Schizosaccharomyces pombe: one gene and its partners. The gene in region 1 interacts genetically with each later gene. Each region holds a gene or a part of one and is shown in the gene's direction. Other genes may lie near its edges.

Region 1 (3,979 bases):
TTTTAGACAAAAGTCAACTATTTAGTGTATTCGCATCCTTTTTTTTATTTATGGTTCTTTTTTTAATTATATTTCAGAATTTTCCCTTCATTTCTGCTTCTTTTCTTTTATTCCATAATTGTTATAGTGTATAGGTTTAGTTACCATTTAAGCATATTTGTTGGATGTGCATCAGAAAGCAAAAAAACTTCACCCGTTTGATTAAAATGCAATTTAGTAAAAAACATTTACTTCTGATTCAAGTTACTTCTTCACGTCTTAAGATAACTGATAATAGAAAACGACGTTTATTAACATTTTATTGAAACAATCTATAGACACCGGTAAGAATAAATCCATAAGCCATTCCCAAAATACCGAATCGTTTAAGCTTGTAATTGGGTGTATTCAAAGGAATTCTAGATTGCGAATAGGCATATATTCCTAGACCTGTGAAAGCGCCTGCGCCCACCAAGCGGCATGGCAAGCAATCGTACTGTTCAAACCTTGGATCGTCTAAATCGACGGGTTTGGGAGTTTGTTGGAAACTTGATGATGGCATCATCGAAAGCTATCAGTTTAATTTATAAACTATAAAAAAAAAGTAACCGCGTAAATATATATGTGTATAATTAAGAGGCCACACAGCTTTCAACCACTTTCACTTTATAAACAAGATTAAAGCACTAAAAGGTAAAGTTTACTCAACCCGCTTTTTCTTTTCTTGTCAACTACAAAATGAAATGTCAGCGATCAATAATACGGTATCCAATTTGATAGATGTTCAATAATAACGACTCAGGACTTTTTTCTCTTTCAATTTGTGGGAAATCTATAGGGCGCGCTGTTCAAACTGTTTAATATATTGGTCTTATGTTCTCCAGTACTGAAATGAATCAATGGCAAAAGTTAAAAGAGACAAAGTAGTGAGTTAAGAGCTAAGTTATAGATCTACTGAAACCGTCTGTTTTATTTTAACTATGAAGAAGAATAAAAGAGGCTAAAGTTACATTTCATTTTTGTATATTTGTAGATCTGCTACCGGATCAATATTTTTTTGGGCGATATAATTTTAGTAAAATTAAAGTAGGATTTTATTGATCTCGAGAAATAAGAGAGCAAACAAAACGACGATAGAAAGAAAGAGCATCGTAATATTGCTTTATTACTTCAATCTGACATGTAAAATTATTTTTCGGCACCAAAAATTGCCGCTTTTTGAATTTAGGAATTCATCTCACATTTGCATTTTACAAATAGAATGCTGTTTAATTTTATGAGTATACAATTATAATTATAGCTATTTATACGAAGCTTTGCTTCTTTATGTCTCTTCCAAAAGTTTCTATATTCCTGCTATGTTTATTATTTATAAAATACTGAAATAAAGTGTGTACGTTAAAATAGGATAAGCGGATTAAATGCGTTCCGTTATCTTCGAATATTATGACTAAACTGAATACGTTAACGAAATTTTTCCGCTGGTTTCTGCTTTTTTTGGCGTTTGTGATTCAAACAAAAAAACGTCTGTTGACATCAAGTCGGAGTGGAGACAATCTTTTTGTAATAAAACTGTTTTAATTGCACTTTACACTCTGTACAGGCTCAGCCTCGTCCATACATACTCAAAGGGTTCATCTATAAGAGCGCTAGGGCAAAGTAACGAGATTTAGTGAAGTGTAGTAGCGTCTCCTTCTTTCCTTTCGTTGTTACATGAGCCGCTGACAGCCTAGTAAATAGCTAACCACTGCCACATCGAAGGAAAGAGCGGTGTCAGAATTTGAGTCGAAAAACGTTTATTTACGTCGAAATTTTTCTGTCTAGAGCAGGAGAAAGTAAACAAATCTAGGGATGGCGACAGAACTTCGCAGAAAGCTCGTTATTGTGGGAGATGGTGCATGTGGTAAAACATGCTTATTAATGTAAGTAAAAATGGTGCAAGCGTCGGAAAGGTAGTAGAAGGGTAAAGTAGTTGCTTGGGCCTGTTTTAAATTGGCAAGGGTTTACATCTCTTGCTTAGCATGGCTGGAGAAGAAAATTATTTCCGTAAGCATGTTCATTGCCTCAAGAAAATAATGAAAGAATCCCCATAGAAATGAGACTTAGATGGGGTTTAGATTACATTTAATAAATGTTCCGAGGATTTAATTTGCACTCCGTACCCTGTATTTCTACTTACTCTTTGCTTGCTTATCTGCAATGTTTCACGAGTCTGTGTCATTGTTATACAACTTCTAACATTTTTCTTTATAGTGTATTTTCTAAAGGAACCTTTCCCGAGGTCTATGTTCCCACTGTTTTTGAAAATTATGTAGCTGATGTTGAGGTTGATGGACGCCACGTTGAGTTGGCTCTTTGGGATACGGCTGGACAAGAAGATTACGACCGTCTACGTCCCTTGTCATATCCTGACTCACATGTTATCCTTATTTGCTTTGCTGTTGATTCTCCCGATTCTCTTGACAATGTTCAAGAAAAATGGATTTCCGAGGTTCTCCATTTCTGTTCCAGTCTTCCTATTTTGCTTGTCGCTTGCAAGGCTGATCTCCGTAACGACCCAAAAATTATTGAGGAGTTATCCAAGACTAATCAGCATCCCGTCACCACAGAAGAAGGTCAAGCAGTAGCTCAGAAGATTGGTGCTTACAAATACCTTGAGTGTTCTGCCAAGACGAATGAAGGTGTTCGTGAGGTTTTTGAATCAGCCACTCGTGCTGCTATGCTCAAACACAAGCCCAAAGTGAAGCCCTCTAGTGGAACTAAGAAGAAGAAGCGTTGTATCTTGTTGTAAACAGCTTGTTTCCAAATTTTTTAACTTAGAGAATTTATCTTTTCTGTTTTTATACATCTCTTCAGTCGAAGCACATTCAACAAGTTTCCGTATTTTTTCGACTTATGTTGATTTTTATTTCACCTTCACCTTGGTGGGAGTTTTGCATTGTGTGGCCTATCATGTTACATAGTCATTATATCCTCTCATTCTTTCCTTTTTACTTACCTCAAGTCGTGCCATTTAGTCAGCTTGGCAATGATTTAAGCGCATTTCATATAGCTGTTCTACCATTTCCCCTCACTGTTCTGCAACGTATAGGCACCTGCAAGGAGTATGCGTCTTGTTTTCAGTCTTTGCTTACTTTGCTATACTCTTCGCTATTAGTTTGAAGAAAATTTCCCTTATTGCCTTGTTATTGCATGGTTTTATTTTTCCTATAATACCTTGTTTCTTTTGTTAAGGATTGCCATCATTATTATCCTTTCTACCTAGTCAAAGGACTTGGTAAATTTTTATAAATCGGTAATTTAAAGAATATACACCTCGATTGAAACTCGATCAAAACCCGAATATTTTATAAGCTTTCTCACAGCACGTAATTGCTTATTATCGTGGAACTTTAGCTGGGTCTCCAATTTTGCACTAGAATTATTGTAGAAAATTGAAGCGACATTATCTCTGTTGATAACCTTGCTGGTATACAGGCGCTTGGTATTTTTATACACGTTGATAGTCGAAGTAGCAGATAGCCGTAGTTGATGGTTTAAACATTTTGTATTTTGCGGAAATTTGCACACTGTTTATATCTCATTCTCTTTACGTCAAGCATACCAATGTTTGCAATTTCATGTTTTGAAGGTGACCGTTGTTATTCTATCTATGCATTTGTATTACCATTTGATTTTCACTCTGTCTACAGGCAAGATTATCAGATGAAGATATAAGCATTGTTGACTTTACCTAAAAAAAAGGATAATTGCGAGGGAGCAAATAGTGAATTAAAGGGAAAAGAACAAAGTTTTTGTAGCTACTAAAAGCTGTTTGTCTATCTCTATGTGTACCTTTTATAGTGCTTATAAGTAAAATGCAGAGTCGAAATCTTCATGCTTTAATGTAAAGCATTAGTAAGGTTACATATTACAACAGAAATGGGAATCAAAATCTTAAATCTAAAAGTTGAGAGGTCTTAACAAAAAAGCTAACTCAACTTAGCTTTACAATTTATAA
Region 2 (5,719 bases), 260 kb from region 1:
ATGTTTTAGAACGACCTGCCGTAGAAAACATGCTTTGCATGATATGTTCCAAGGTTCAACCAGCAGCTCAATATTGCAAATACTGTAAGAACTGTATGGGCCGATATTACTGCAATAAGGTATGTGATATTTTATTTGATACTTGTTCAATATCACTAATACATGACTTAACAGTGCAAACTTTGGGATGACGATCCGAATAAAAGTAGCTATCATTGTGATGATTGTGGTATTTGTCGAATAGGACGCGGTCTTGGCGATGATTATTTCCACTGCAAGGTAACTTTCGTGTACTTTTAGCACATGCTTTGCTTTTTAAACTCATATTCTAACAGCTGTAGACTTGTGGCCTTTGTTTACCTATTTCGGTTTTCAATACTCATCGTTGCATCGAAAGAAGTACGGATTGTAATTGCCCAATTTGTGGTGAATACATGTTTAACTCTCGCGAACGCGTAATCTTTTTAAGTTGCTCTCATCCGTTGCACCAGCGATGTCATGAAGAATATATAAGAACCAATTATCGTTGTCCTACTTGTTACAAAACGATCATTAATGTCAATTCATTGTTTCGAATTTTAGATATGGAAATTGAACGACAACCCATGCCTTATCCCTATAACACTTGGATTTCTACCATCCGTTGCAATGACTGTAACTCACGTTGTGATACGAAATACCATTTCTTGGGTCATAAATGTAATTCATGTCATTCTTACAATACTTGTATTTCATCAATTTACAAACCTTTGGATCACCCACAGGTGTCTATCCCTCGACTGGCAACCGCTGAGGATGCCGGTATGCGACGGCTAATGGGACATTCTTGGGACAACAGCGATGAAGACTTTAATATTTTCGGGATTCACAGTTTTATATAGATTTTCTAACTTTATGAACTTCCTAAACTGTTACGATTATCCTATATGTACTATTATTTTGGAAAAGTTGCTATTTTCATTCAATTCTTTGCAAGAATTACGAATTTTTAACGTTTACCCCAATTGTCTGATTATATTTATTCCCTTTTCTCGTCCTTTTGCATCTACTTCTTATATGGTTTTTTTTCTCAACAAGTCAAGCGATGGTATGAAGTAAATCGCTTAAATTTCCTCGATGAAGAGAATTTCTGTTTTAATTAATCTAAACTCATCTACTTTTGTGTGAAGCTATGGTGTCTTGAAACATTCGCAAACATAAGGACTTTGCTTCATGCAATTCTGGGCCTCTCTCAATATTTCAATTTCCTGTTATTATGACTTATATGTTATTTGTCTTGATTTTTTTTACGGCTGGCATTCATTAAATAAAGAGTTTATTGTCATTCCATATTCATCTAATCCTTCAGATTCCTTTTAAACTGACTTTTTGTCTAGAAGATGCGATCATTCGTCAAGTTACTGCAACTATTCTTGTTACTTTTCTATCTGTCGTTGTGATTCTTTAGCAGCATCCAACTACAAAATTTTTTTACCACACTTGCAGTTGTCTCTTAAGAGCAGGTTTAGTAACGTGGATGGGTTGTTAGTCGGAGTTACTAGTCAGATGAAGCGATAATACTAATTTTCTACTATATCAATTTAATTTGGCATGAATAAAATTTCAATACATTGTTACTATGTAAGGTGGTTAACTCAATTACCGCGTGGAAACGATAGTGTCAAATGCAGCCATATGTTTCAAGCCAGTAGTAAATGGCATCTACTGTTGCGGATGTTTAGTAATTTAAAATTAGGGAAATCTATATGAATATTGCAGTATGTGAAAACTGTGGTAGCTTTCTCATTAAGCGCAAGTTAACGGCGATCTCTTTTTATCCAGCCATTTGAAATGAATAATTTGCCTTAGTAAAATTTCACCTGGTTCGTAACTTTAAGGTTCTTTGCTAGAGCATTGATAGGTAACATATTGGTAAGGTGAAAAAAAGCCTCGAAACTAACTCGGAAAGAATCCCCACATTGAAAAGTGCATCACCCTTACCTATAGGCAAAGCCAAGCAGGACCGCGACATTTTCTCTTTACCGCTTACTCTTCACCGTGCTTTTAAGGGAATTCATCAAGATACATTGAAATTGGACGAGATCTTATTATTTTTCTAGAAAAAAAATCCAACGTTCTTTTAAAAACTTCAAAAAACCTTCTTTCTGTAAGGGAATTCGCACGCAAGAGAAAATGTCATTCACGAACAATACTTCAAGTGTGGACACTTCCCTCAGCTCATCTGCTTCTAGCAGTATTCCGGCAAGCAGCTCTTCTGCTGCTGCTAGTACGAGTTTGAGTAGCTCAAGCGTGATTCCTTCTAGTTCGAGCTCTATGCTTTCATCGTCTAGTGCTACTGCAATTAGTTCTTCATCATCGTCTTCACCTCTTTCATCCTCATCTTTTACTTCTCCTGCTTCTTCTTCTTTTATCACATCTTTGGTCTCATCAAGCAGCCAACAAAGCTCTAGTAGCAGTGCTTCATTGACCTCTAGTAGCAGTGCTACACTGACTTCCAGTAGCAGTGCTTCCCCGACCTCCAGTAGTTCGAGTCACGCGCTTAGCAGCAGCAGTAGTTCTCTTGTCGCTAGTAGTTCCTCCAGTGGGATGTCCAGTAGTTCCTTAAGCCATTCGTCTAGTGTCCCATCATCTAGTTCTTCCTACCACAGCTCTTCCATGACTACGAGCGGCTTGAGTTCTTCAGCCAGCATTGTCAGTAGTACGTATCGAGATGGACCCTCAATAATCACATTGGTCTCAACTTCTTACGTTTCTGAAGTGGTGACCCCCACTACTACTAATAATTGGAATTCCTCCAGTTCTTTCACTTCCAGCACTTCGTCTACGCCTATTAGCTCTTCTTATTCTTCCAGTGGCACTTTGCCCAGTAAATCTAACAAGTCAAGCAATCATGTCGGCGTAGTTGTTGGTTGTTCTGTTGCTATTCCTGTTGGTGTAGTTCTAATTTTGATTGGTTTAGGAATTTTTCTTTGGAAAAGGCATCAACGGTCCAAACGAATTAAGGCTGAGCGCATGCAAGAAGTCGAGGAATACGGATTTAACCCCAATCAACCCTCCAATTTCCGTAGCCCAAATCGTGCTCCCTCTACTAATAACAGGTATCGTGGCTGGAATGGAAGCCCAACACCTGCTGCTGGAAACAATACTAACGGACGGCCTGTTGCTCCTAGACCTTCTGCCGGCGCTGGCGGAGCCAATCCGCCTGCAGCTTCTCAGCCCGGCCTTTTGGGTGGCAGTAGTAATTCAGCTGGTCCAATTGCAGCTGCTACCGCTGCTGGTGTCGGTGCTGATGCTTCTGATGCAGCTAATACTGGTGGAAGCTTTACTCGTCCTCAAGGAGCCCGTATGGTTAGACCGATTGGAAATCCACCTGATCTTTCTGCTTCTAACGAAGCTGAAGCTACAATGCCTCCATCTAATGGAAGCAACTTTTCTGAAGGTTTGTCTGCATCTCCGTTTGAGTCAGGCCCTGCTGTTGGTGCCGCTGGAGCTGCGGCCGAAGCTGCAGAACACAGTGGTTCTGGTTCAGATTCCTATCCAGAAGGTCCTTTAGCTACGATTCCTGAAAGTGACAGTGAAAGCATGGCTAGTGATTTAGCTGGAGAATCCTCTTACGGCTCGAGGGCAGCTCTGTCTAGTCGATCTCAAAGCAATCTTCTTTCCCCAACAAGCACTGGTGCTTCTAACCAGCCCAATTATTCACCTTTTGCTGACAACCCATCAAGTAGCAACGTTTCTATTCCTCGGTCGTCATCGGAAGCTCGCAGGTTGAACCTGTTTTAAAGTATGCGCTTAAACACTTGTTGCGATAGATTTAAGCAAAAATTATTTGTTTACAATTTCTGGATATATCCGTCGCTTAAAATAAATGCGTTAGTTACGCTTGCCTTCAATTGATGGTAGAAAGTCTTGCGAAGAAAAGCTTGCTCATCACTTTTTCGTATAACAACTTTTTCTTTATTCGGCTTTTACCTTTGTTTTTTACGAAAATCTTAAGTAATCGATCTTTTCAATCTTATTGCTATCTCTTTGTTTTACCGTTACTCACTCATTTCCTTTTTGCTTGAACAGTTTTATGGTATTAGAAATTCACATTCTCATTGCAAAGCTTTGTTATTATTATGGGTTTCGCTTATACCATCTCATACAATCAATTGGTCCGTCGGTTTACTTTCTTTAAAAAAGGAGTTATTTAGCAAACTATTTATCCTTCTTTCAAACTTTCTTTTTAAACTTAACTATTTGCTTTTTCTCATGGCCCTCTTTTTTTAAGAAAATTTCGTTGCTTGCATTTCATTCAAAGTCTTAAATATGTCATCTGGTTCCTTAACTTATTGCTTTTAAATCGACTTCATCTTTTGACTGACTTTTGAATTTTTCTTTCAATTGTTTCACTGTAGTGAGATACAACCCTTAAAAAAGTCTCTTTGGTTTGTTTATTCTTATCCTTTTCTCATTTGCATTTCATTACTTATCAATCATTTCTGTTTCATTCGCCGTTTCGCTTTGTTTTTTCATTTGTACATTTCTTTACAGAATGGCGAATTCTTGTCAAATGCGACGGAAAGCCAATTTTCCTGAATAGTGTAAAACGAAATGAAACTTTTAACAGCTACCTGTTTTCCATCCCATGGTTTCTTGTTATTGAAAGTGGATAGCAAATAGTCTTTATGACCAGCCATTTCAATTTTACTTTCAGTCGCCTAACCAATCTCGTTATCTCATTTCTTTGAAATAAATGTACATACTGTACTTTTTCCTTTTCTTTTCCTTCCGTTCCTTTTTCACCGTCTCGTATATGTAATGGAGCGTCACGTTCCCTTCGCTGCACTTATCGCTCTTACTCTTTCGTCATGTTGAGGACCATCTAGCTCTACTTTCTCTCGTGTGGCTGGATGTTTACTTAACTTTGTTTTGGCCAGCATGCTCGACTACTGATAATTAAAAAATAAAAATTTTGAGCATTGTCTGTTTAAGAGTTGTTGCTAAGTTCTGGCTTTATTACTTTTATTCGCGGCACTCCGTTTGCCTTCTTGTATGTACCTTTTACAATTCTTCGTTTCCTCTCTTTCTTCTCAGTTCTAACTATCACTTGAACGCAAAGTGGTTAGATATACATTTTCCTCATTCTTTCGTATTAAATCAATTTATTAAATGCTTATAGCTTGCAAATCATACATTGTGCTGCATGATATTTACTTTCGTAGTTAACACGTAAAACGTATTTTCTGTACGCCAAAAAAGATAAAGAACAATTTGGTAATCGCGTTGTATATATATAAGGAAATGGGTTATAATGCGTTAAGGATCTAATCTGCAAGACCGATTAATTCTCCTTTCAGCCAACACCACGCGAAATCCGACGGATTTCAAAATTGTGCGCTGAAAGCACGAATTTGATTAAGGATTCCTTTTGTAGTTCTTTTTTATTTATTTCGTTCCCGAAAAAAGCGTTTTTGTATCAAATAGAAAGGATAAAACGGCCTTAATTGAAAGTTTTTTTTGCAAGCACAAATACTTGACTTTCTTTGGGAAATTGGCTTTTTTTTATTATCCAAAAGCAACGCTGGTTTGAAATTTTACCATCTTTTCCCCCTATGTCAAACTCAGCTCAGTAAGTAGTTCTTTAACTGCTATAAACACATTTGCTAACTTTTATGATTAGATCTCGTCGAATTCGAGTAACAAGTATGTGATGACATTATTCAAATGCCCTGTG
Region 3 (6,581 bases), on another chromosome or scaffold:
AGAAAAGAGAGGTGAAAAAAGATAGAAAAAGGAATTGAGAAAGAAGAGTATAAAAAAAAAGAAAGAAATGCGAAGAGAAATTAATAAATGGAATAAAATAAGGGAAAATAAATTAAAATAGAACAAATTCAGTGTCAATGGAATTCAAAAAATGCAAACCAATCTCGTACGCCCTCAAAAAAAGCAATTTTATAGTAAGCCGGAATGAAAACGATTGATGCTTTCAAAGTTATGCGATGAACCAGAGAAACTCCCGTCCTCTATTAATAAAAGACTTTGACATAAAATTACGAATACAGAAAGAAAGAAAAAAAGAAAGAAAGAATTGTATCGCAATATCAATGCAACAGTCTGTTTATTCGGTTTGTGATGCCACAATAAAAGGGTTAGGGCGGAAGGAATAATATAGGATGATCTGATTGAAACAACCCAAAAAGGAAAGAAAGCTCCCAAGCGTTTCAGAGGAATCAAGTTTCGTAGGTTTATAGACAGAGAAAGAGAGAAAGCAAAAGCAGTATATTATGAAAGGTAATGACTTGATCAAAAAAACAACCTCTTCTAATGAAACGTTTGGGATAAATCAAAATCGATGCCTAAGAAAAGATTATAGGACTTTATGGTTTTTAAATATATGTGTAAATGTTAAATAACTTATAACCCACCACCAAGGGATCTTCGTGGACGGCGAGCGGAGTGGATAAGAAAATGGCTGGTTGTATGTTCGCGACGGAAGAACAAAATTGGTCTTTGACTAGCAAATTTTCCAAATTTAGATTACATGATTTAAACGATAAATAGGGCAAATAAAGTGTACAAAAAGATATTTGATCAATTTATATGATGTTGAGCACAAGCTGAATAGTAAACAATGCGAACGCAATTAAAATAAAATAAGTCAATACAGCATAGTCATAGAAATCGATCAATTGAGGTTATCCGGATTAAAGCTAATTATTTTAGATGATGTTTTTCATATTTGTAAATCGGTAATACAATTATGAGCTGGTCGGACAGAAAAAGTGAGCACATAAATTGCAGCAAGTAGAAAAGCAATAGGCAATATAAAGTAAAGGAGTTCATTCATGACTTCCCTTTTTATATAAGCGTTTTTTTTTTTAGTGGAAAGTCGACCAGGATGCAGTTGAATGTTGATATTAACTTTGTTAGGACTAGTGAAAATTCAGATTTGTACTTTTTTTTTAAGGAGTTCAAGACTTTTTTACTACATATTCAACATTGAAATCACCTTATCTATAGAAGAAGTAGATAAACTTAGCCCAAAACAGCATACTGATGACTTATAGCTTCTCATCCCTTCATAATATTAATGCGGTTTACTGCTGCTGTAACAATTCTTCTGATATATTAAGTATACGTATTTTTCCCTTCGAGGATAATCTTTTCTTAATATACCTGTTGCTCTCTCAAATTGCTAAGCAGACAAGTAAACAAATCAATTGTTTCATTGAACGAACCAGGACGGCTATATAAACTTATTATTATAATTTAAATCAAATTTTAAACATTCAACTCTGGAAACACTAACAAAAGCCTTTTTTTATGTCGCCTTTTAGCATGTGTTTCGAGTGGAAACCCTCCATGCAAAAGAAATTGAAGGTGAAAGCAATATACTAAAGCAAAACATTAATTCATCAAGCAATACGCAATTTACATATTAATGGTCTTTGATTTAGAAAATCGTATAAATTAGAATTTTTCATCATCTTACCGTTATAACGAGTTCGTAGCTACTTTCGCAGAAAGTTTGTGGTCAAATTATCTTGTCTTTTTCTCCACCACCAAACCCTCGTTTTCACGGGAAACATTCAGCATTGTCGATTCGATCGTCAAACTGATTGTTTTTATAGTAGCAATGGATTACCGGCATCCAAATGCACTCGGTGTGAATGAGAGCTCGCGTGCTTATGAGGAAATTTTTGGTGCTCCAAGAAAACGGGAGCCGGCGAGAACTGTAAGTACTCCTGCGTTCATGGAACCGGCTCCAGTCTCAAAAAAACCTCTTCCTCCTCCCACGCGAAGGCTTCCTCGGAAACCTTTGCCCTTTCGTTCCACGAGTTTGCAGCCTCCATCGTCTCAACCTCCTGCACCTCCAACTCATCAGAGAGAAGCATCTCCTGTGAAAAATATTGAGCACAGTGAATCTTTTCCTTCCGTTTTTGGTACTTCAAATAATCACCAGATCGTCCCATTGACTCTTAAAGACGGAAATGATTTTGGTGCTCTATATGCATCTTTAAACACCACACCCCATTTTCCTCAGGTATCGAATCATGCGCCCAATAACTCTAATTCCCCTTCTTTGACTTGGCACACATCATCCGGTGATGATTCCAACCAAAATCCTTTTTTCGTTCGGCGTCAGTCTCAGAGTAGCACGTCTCCGGTTTCGGATTCAGTAGATGAGAACCTCCTTTCAGCAGTCTCTTCTGTTACAGAGTCCGTAGAAACAAACCTTCATCTCGATCAAAATTATCCTTACGGCTCTCCTGTTCGTTCGTCTAAAAATCCCTTTCTCTCTTCAAATTCTCGATTACCAACTGATGATTCTTCTCACACTGTTGGTTCTCATTCATTTACTTCAGGAACTCACCCACCCATTGTTTCTTCTAATTCCGCCTTTACACTTCCCAATGCTGTTACTCCTGCAGCTCAAGCACCTCTCATACGTAGTGTTAGTGAATATCCTGCTAACGTTTCTCCACCTGCCCAGTCCCTTCAGCTACCAAAATCTACTAGCAATCCCGCGGATCTTCATTTAAGCATAGCTTCTGCTAGCAGCCATAAGAATATTTTTTCTGGGTTGGACGTCTTTTCTAATGTCTTTCATGGTCCCTCTACCACATTACGAGACAGAGAACATGATATGCGAAATCGCTCATTTGATCATTCTACCTTGGCTCATTATGAAGCAGTTAAGCAGCAGAGACTTGGTGTTGAACCTACTGCAAGGTCCTTTACGTTGAGCTCTTATAAGTCCCGTGCAAGTGGAAATTCCCTAATTAATGATCGAAGCTCTACAACAACGCCGACGTTTGTTAATTCGGAAGCTAGCTCGCCTGTTCATAAAAATAAACGAAGACGCAGAATATATGCTGCCTTACTTTCTCGTGTTGCCAGCGAATTGTTAGATAGACTACAGCTAGGTGATATCACGAAAGACGGTTTAATTTATTCTAATGCCTTTACTGGCGATCATGCAGTCACCGTGCTAATGGGTATTATACATACTTCTGATAGAAATCTCGCTTTACTTGTCGGACGCTCTTTAGATGCACAAAAATTTATTCATGATGTTACCTATGATCATCGTCTTCGTGATTCTCATCGTGAAATATATCAGCTTCAAGGTACTGGTTATCGCCCCTTCTTACGCGCAAATGATAATGCATCCATTAACAACAAAAACCATCATAAGGAATTGGAGGACAATGAGTCGGGCACTCGAATCTCACCGTCCACGTTAGGTGACACTTCTTTTCCAAATGGTATATTTACTTTATTGACGCATTGTTACTCTCCAACATGTGCAAAAGATCATCCCTGCTATTCTATTTCATGTCCTCGACGATTGGAACAGCAGCACAGACTATTTGCCAAAATGCGTGCAAACACTGAACAGTCTTCCTCCCTAGCGTTTGATGATAAGGAACAAAAATTGTGGATTCACAGCGTACCCCAGGAGATTGCTTATAGTGTCAGTGACCGGGAAAGAAAGCGTCAAGAAGTAATTTGTGAGGTTATCTATACTGAGCGAGATTTTGTTAAGGATTTGGAATATCTTCGGGATTATTGGATTAAACCACTATGGGCTTCATCTTGTATACCTGAACGAAAAAAAGAAAAATTTATTCGTACTGTGTTTTTAAATGCTTTAGAGGTTCAAGCAGTTAATTCTAAATTGGCTGAAGCTCTTACTAAAAGACAAAACTATAAACCCATTGTGGATAATATTGCGGATATATTTTTGGAGCACGTTCCAAAATTTGAGCCTTTCATACGATATGGTGCAGGCCAACTCTACGGAAAATACGAGTTTGAGAAGGAAAAGTCATCTAATCCTGCATTTGCTAAGTTTGTCAGTGACGTTGAACGTCTGAAAGAATCACGAAAGCTAGAGCTAAACGGCTATCTGACTAAACCAACTACCAGATTGGCTCGTTATCCATTACTTCTAGAAGCGGTATTAAAATATACTGATGAGGGTAACCCTGATAAACAAGACATTCCGAAGGTCATTAATATCGTTAGAGGATTTCTCTCACGTCTTAATGTTGAAAGCGGAAAAGCAGAAAATAAGTTTAACTTGTTTCATTTGAATCAACAGCTGGTCTTTAAACCTGGAGAACATTATGATTTACATCTGCTTGATGCGAACAGACAATTAATATTCAAAGGACCCTTGAAGAAAAGAAGTGCTGGTTCCACTTCTTCAGAGTCTGCGTCGGATGTTACTTTGTTTCTCTTTGACCATGCTTTGTTGATAGTAAAACCAAAGACTATTAATAAACGTGAATTATTGAAAGTTTTTCAAAGAGTATGTTTTTTCTATTCATTTAAATTGTTTTTTCTAACTAGTATAGCCTATTCCTCTATTACTTCTTCAACTATTCCTTGTTGATGATAATGGATTAAGAATCCCTTATTCAAGTAAGCAACAACTAGCAGCTGTATCAAAAGCAGCGAATGGGAAGCCACCTTCTAGATTTTATCCATTTAGCTTACAACTTTTGGGTCGTAGAGGGTACGAAATCACTCTTTATGCAACCACTGAAGTTAGTAGGGATAAGTGGTTAGAGCATATTGACAACCAACAAACATTGCTACAACATCGTAACCAGTGGTTTGAGTCTGTTACCATTTGCTCTAATTTCTTTGTTGGTGATAATAAAGTAAATGCGATAGGCGTTTATGATAGTGGTCGTCGACTTTTATATGGGACTGACACAGGTGTGTACGTCTCTCTTCGAAAAGCAAACAGCCCACTTCAATTCAAGCCTGTACGTGCGTTAAATATTCCCAACATTTCACAGCTTGAGGTTATTGAAGAGTATAGTTTATTGCTACTGCTTTCCGATAAGGTGTTATATTCGTATCCTTTGGAAATGATTGATGCGGATACTACTCAAGCCCCTAAAAAAGCAAGGAAAGTTTCTGGTCATACAACTTTCTTTCGCGTAGGAATTTGTCTGGGTAAAGTTCTTGTGTGTGCTGTCAAAAGTTCCGTCTTGAGTGCTACTATAAAGGTTTTTGAACCAGTCACTAATTACTCTAAAACACGGAACATGCCAAGCTTGAAAAAATTCCTTACTGTTAACCAAGACCCATTGAGGATTGTCAAAGAGCTTTATATACCCACGGAATCAACTTCGGTTCACTTCCTGAAGAATAAACTCTGTGTCGGATGTACGAGAGGTTTTGAGGTGGTCAGTCTCGATAACCTAGAGACGCAGTCTCTACTGGATCCAGCCGATACGTCTCTTGAATTTGTGGAGAAGAAAGAAAATGTTAAACCTATCGCTATCTATCGTATGAATGGCGGTGAATTTCTTTTATGCTATTCCCAATTTGCTTTTTACGTAAATCGAGATGGATGGCGTTCTCGTCCTACATGGTTTGTTGTTTGGGAAGGAAGTCCTCAAAACTTTGCCTTAAGTTATCCTTATATATTGGCTTTTGAACCCACTTTTATTGAAATCAGACATGTTGAAACCTCTGAATTGATCCATGTCATTTCCGGCAGAAACATCCGTTTGCTTGCTGATGGAAGAGGAAAGTTAGGGGACGGTGGTGAAATATTTTATGCGTGCGATCAACGTGGTGAAAATTGTGAGACAAGTGTTGTTTGTTCCCTTCGATTGACGAGTGCTGCTGCCCACGCCAAAGAGCAGCATGTAGACAAGTAATTTTGGTTTTTTTGAACTTAATTTTCACGTTTTATTTATAACGGTTAATTGGATATTGGTTTGTTCGGTTATCTTTTCTTTTCTTTTTTAAAAAAATAATTTAGGTGCATGAATTTTAATGATAAATAAGATTTTTTTAAAATATATACGTTAACAATATTTTAAAGTGAATAACTAGATATATTGTAGGCAAAAAGTACTAGCGAATATGATCAATGTTACTATACTAGAAGTAAAATATTTTTAGTCCTCATATTCTAGGGGATCACCATATACCCAGAAACCGATATGATTTAGACGTGCTTCTTGCTGATGCTCTTCTAGAATATTGAGGGATGCGGTATCTTTTTCAAAGTGAGATGTTTTTTTCTTGGGAATAACACTAGCCATGCCGAGCGCAACCAGTTGGGCATTAATACAGTCAGAAAAATCTGAACCATCACTAGGATTATACAAAGTTACAGAATACACGTTTCCTTCGTGTCCATCGACTTTAGCCACTAGACCTTTATTCATGGCTAGCTCCCTGAAAACGAGTCTTGCGTCTTCATAGTAATCAGAGCTGGGAGGAGGTAATTGAACGTAACTGAGACGAGCAAGTTGCGCTTGAGGCTTCAATTTAGTATAGGTATCTGGTAAAGAGGATATGTTTTTGAA
Region 4 (3,799 bases), 2.2 Mb from region 1:
TAAAGAAAGAAGAGTCAAAAAAATCGCGATATCGATACTAAACAAAATTGCGATCAGAAGAAGCACAAGGTGCCGAAAAAAAAATATTGACACAAGAAGATAAGAATGCAACAGTAATGATATTTGACAAAAATCAATCGGTAAAGAAAAGAAAGTTCGTACTAAAGGCTCTATATATACAAAAAAAATGCTGCTTTAAATATCACTCAAACCGAAACAATCGACTCTGTAAACAAACAGAAAAACAGTGCTTATTCGACAAAACATTCAAAAGTGTGGGGAAACTTTTATTAATCAGTTTCTTACTGGTTTAAACAAAATATAACAAGGCTGAGCAAAAAAAATAGGAGTCAAAGGCTTTACCAAAAGCTTGATGCGAGTGTTAACTCATTGAAGCGCACATCGTCCATCTTTTTTACTTGATGATCTACACATGATCATCTCTAACAATGAGGGAAGTTTTGCATTCAGATTATATGAGTTGTTTATACAAGTCGCATATGAACATTCTGAAACGAGGGTACGGAAATGATGGAATATACTTTAATAGTTTAAAGAGAGTTAAAATGAGTGCATCATCATATCTGGTATGCATTTTCGATTACAGGGAGAGGGTGGTACTGTAAAATTACCATTTTACAGCACGAAAACTCCTTTTGTTTATCAGTAGATTAAAAGGATACTCTCATTAGTAAGTTTAGTGGATTAAATAGTATTAACAGCATGTGCTTAAAAAATGTTGAAACATGTCGATGGCACTGTGATCGCATAATAATTCATTATGCTCATTGAAGTTAATATAAAACCAAAGGAAATCTAAGAGATTATAAGTCTCTTAGCTTTACTTAAAAGAGATTCTAAAATTCAAACTCTAAAGTGCGTCTGCAAACAGCTGTTTGCTGTAGCTGCTGGATTTATGAACCATGGTGAGGTGCGATTTGTAAACTAGAGAATGATAGCGAAACGCTCGTTAAAACGCCAATATCGCACTTTCTATGGACAGTATTATAAATTTGTAGTACAGCATCAAGCATAATATAATTCCCAGTAACTAACATAATGATCCCATTACTGTTAAATGTAATGTGTTATGGGTCAAAGCAAACAAGGCAAATTTGATAATGAACGAGATGATTTTTCGGTTCGGTTTCCAATTCGTTATTATAAACAGTCGTAACGGAGCGTCAAACCTTCATTTAGTAAAAAAAAAAAAAAAAAATTGACTAAGCAATACGAAATATCTATAGTAGATACATGCGTATTACTATTTTATATTATTGTTGAGCAAAGTGATAATGCAATAACGATGTTAACCGTAGTTCGGTAAAGACACATTCATACGATATTATATTCAATTTGTTTTGATTTACGATTTAGAGTTTTTAAACATAAGCAAACGAAGATCGGAATTAAACCAAAATAAATCTCGTGCCAAAAACAATAACTTCATAAGTAGAAGCTGTAGACACGTGAATAGAATATTTAAAGATGTTGTAATTGTTTTCCTGGGAGATTTCAAGAAGTGCTAACCGAAGCATGAGTAAACTAGGAGCTTTTCGATCACAGCAAGCAAGGCATGTCAGTTACTAGTCGTTGAAATTTTAGTAGGGTAAGCTTTAGCTTGATAGCGGTTGCTTGGAAAAAACAGTGTAACATTCAAAATCGGTTTCTTTTGAACCTGACAACATTACCGTAATAATTCAATCGCTCAATACGCCATTCGTGAAGGGTAGTAGCCTTTCTCTTACGAAGTTACTAAAAACTCAATTTTTTTTGTACCCTTAAGCGCTTACGAGTTCTTTTCTTCAACTTATTGCTACTCGAATAATAAATGTTAAACATATCTCGACTTGCTTTTCAGTTCGTTGATCCTCGCTATTTACAGTTTGTAACAAGTTAACTCGTCTATGAAGTCATCGATAGAAGGGCTTTAAAGTGTGCTATTTGCGAAACAACAGCAAATTTGTAGACTAGCACTTTACAAAAGTCTACTATCGTATTGCCGGTTCAAACTAAAATTTATGACCTCAGTTTCTACTAAATATAGTACGAATCATGATTAAATTGAGGTTAACAAAAGATGCGAAAGTAGGGTGTTGCTTCCTAATTTTTGGATTGTTAAACAACCTTCTCTACGTGATAATTTTATCCGCTGCCTTAGATTTGGTTGGCGCAAACGTTTCTAAGGGTGTGGTACTACTTTCTAATATTGTTCCTTCTTTGGCGTGCAAGTTGTCAGCATCAATTCTTCATGTTCATAAATTTAAGTTTGCAAAGAGAATCGGTTTTTGTGTTTTCATGTCCATATTAGGAATGCAATGGATTGCTTGGTCTTCCTCCGTCCCTTCGAAAATGCTTGGTGTATCTCTGGCAGCCATTTCATCGAGTTTTGGCGAAATCTCTTTCTTGCATCTATCAAGTCGTTATCACTCTGTGTCTTTACCGTGCTGGAGTTCCGGAACAGGCTTGGCCGGTCTCTTTGGTGCATCTTCCTATTTGGTTATGACTACATGGTTTAACTTCTCGGTACGCAGCACACTTATTATCTCTAGCTTTCTGCCGCTTTTCCTTTTGATCATGTACTTTTTTGTGTTGCCAGAGTCTGAATCTACATCACCTTCAATTAACAACAATTATACGCCAATTGAATCTATTGATCTTCGAGCAGGGCACGTTTCATTCAATTTCGTTAATTCTTTGAAGCAAACATTCATATTCATGCAACCATACCTTCTTAGTCATATGTTTCCGCAGTTCCTTGTATACTTCTCAGAATATACTATCAATATTGGTGTAGCTCCCACTCTTTTATTCCCGCCCGAAAAAGCTGGCTTTTCTTCGTTTAGGGATTTTTATCCTACTTACCAAACTGTTTACCAGATTGGTGTTTTCCTATCGCGATCCTCCATTTCATTTTTTACTGTCCCATATTTGCGCACATTGGCAATAACACAGTTCATTATCCTTCTATTTACTATACTACAGTCGGCCCTATATCTTACTTCCAGCTATCATTTTGTACTATTCCTCATATTCGTTGAGGGTCTTATTGGTGGTACCGTTTATGTGAACGTGTATCATAGTTTGCAGACTACGGAGAGTAGTCAGCGTGAACTAGCTATTAGTACTGTTGGCTCTTCAGATAGCTCTGGAATTTTTTTAGCTTCATTGGTATCACTATTCCTTGAACCCTCCTTGTGCCATTTCCAAGCTGATCGTGGCCGAGATTGGTGTGCCTTAACTTGAAATAGTGAGTGCGCACATCTCCATTATATTGAGAGTTAACCTATGACGTTTCTTCCATTAGTGTGCTAAGTGCTTCAATATCAAGTTTGCTTTACGACCATTTTCTTTCAACTATTGTTTACTTTTTTAGTTCTTAATAGGTTTGCTTTGAAAGAAGAAGTTTTTCATTCCTAATTCCTGATACCAGAAGTTCTTAAACTTTTGGTGCACAATTACTTTCTGCTGTGCATTCTATGCGAATCATATCAAAACATACATTACTTAATTTTTTCCTTTTCATATCTTCCTTCTTTTAGATAATATGGCAGAACAGAAAATCATATCCTTATTTGACGATGATGCTTGTACTCGTTATACAATTTTAATTGCTAGTACAATTGGTGAAATGCGAGAGAAGAAAGAGTCAATAATCGATAACACGGATCCTGAAATAGTAAAATATCTTTCTCAATTATTGGACGTCTTTAGAGAAAACTTCGACACTTGGGCAATGGCAGTTGTAAATCGCACAGGTTGCGCACTGGATCCCTCTACTCCAAAGGATCAAGTAGAA

What was found.
Region 2: of rho1 (region 1) and mtl2, extra expression of one rescues a mutant of the other (dosage rescue), as found in Schizosaccharomyces pombe (one study listed by BioGRID).
Region 3: of rho1 (region 1) and rgf1, extra expression of one rescues a mutant of the other (dosage rescue), as found in Schizosaccharomyces pombe (one study listed by BioGRID).
Region 4: of rho1 (region 1) and btn1, a mutation in one rescues a mutant of the other (synthetic rescue), as found in Schizosaccharomyces pombe (one study listed by BioGRID).

What each region holds. Positions count from the first base shown.
Region 1 is NC_003424.3:4,222,350-4,226,328, forward strand, and holds rho1 (Rho family GTPase Rho1), read left to right. Parts: upstream 1-1,721; 5' UTR 1,722-1,830; coding exon 1,831-1,901; exon of another isoform or gene 1,902-1,973; intron 1,974-2,136; exon of another isoform or gene 2,137-2,232; coding exon 2,233-2,770; 3' UTR 2,771-3,475; downstream 3,476-3,979. Other genes in the region: protein tam6, read right to left, coding at 299-544. UniProt on the Schizosaccharomyces pombe protein: Involved in the regulation of cell wall growth and actin cytoskeleton organization. Activates (1,3)-beta-D-glucan synthase.
Region 2 is NC_003424.3:3,957,726-3,963,444, forward strand, and holds mtl2 (protein Mtl2), read left to right. Parts: upstream 1-2,023; 5' UTR 2,024-2,172; coding exon 2,173-3,783; 3' UTR 3,784-5,189; downstream 5,190-5,719. Other genes in the region: SPOM_SPAC2F3.16 (ubiquitin-protein ligase E3), read left to right, coding at 1-119, 175-279, 342-881; HECT-type ubiquitin-protein ligase E3 Pub1, read left to right, coding at 5,598-5,614, 5,666-5,688.
Region 3 is NC_003421.2:1,243,390-1,249,970, forward strand, and holds rgf1 (RhoGEF family guanine nucleotide exchange factor Rgf1), read left to right. Parts: upstream 1-1,796; 5' UTR 1,797-1,873; coding exon 1,874-4,555; intron 4,556-4,601; coding exon 4,602-5,924; 3' UTR 5,925-6,081; downstream 6,082-6,581. Other genes in the region: tudor domain and nuclease, Snd1, read right to left, coding at 6,168-6,581. UniProt on the Schizosaccharomyces pombe protein: Stimulates the exchange of Rho1 and Rho5 GDP-bound form into GTP-bound form. Controls septum formation, cell wall synthesis and localization of F-actin patches. Coordinates actin deposition with cell wall biosynthesis during bipolar growth.
Region 4 is NC_003424.3:2,049,909-2,053,707, reverse strand, and holds btn1 (battenin CLN3 family protein), read left to right. Parts: upstream 1-1,959; 5' UTR 1,960-2,055; coding exon 2,056-3,246; downstream 3,247-3,799. Other genes in the region: protein Mil1, read left to right, coding at 3,548-3,799. UniProt on the Schizosaccharomyces pombe protein: Involved in vacuolar transport and vacuole pH homeostasis. Also required for cytokinesis.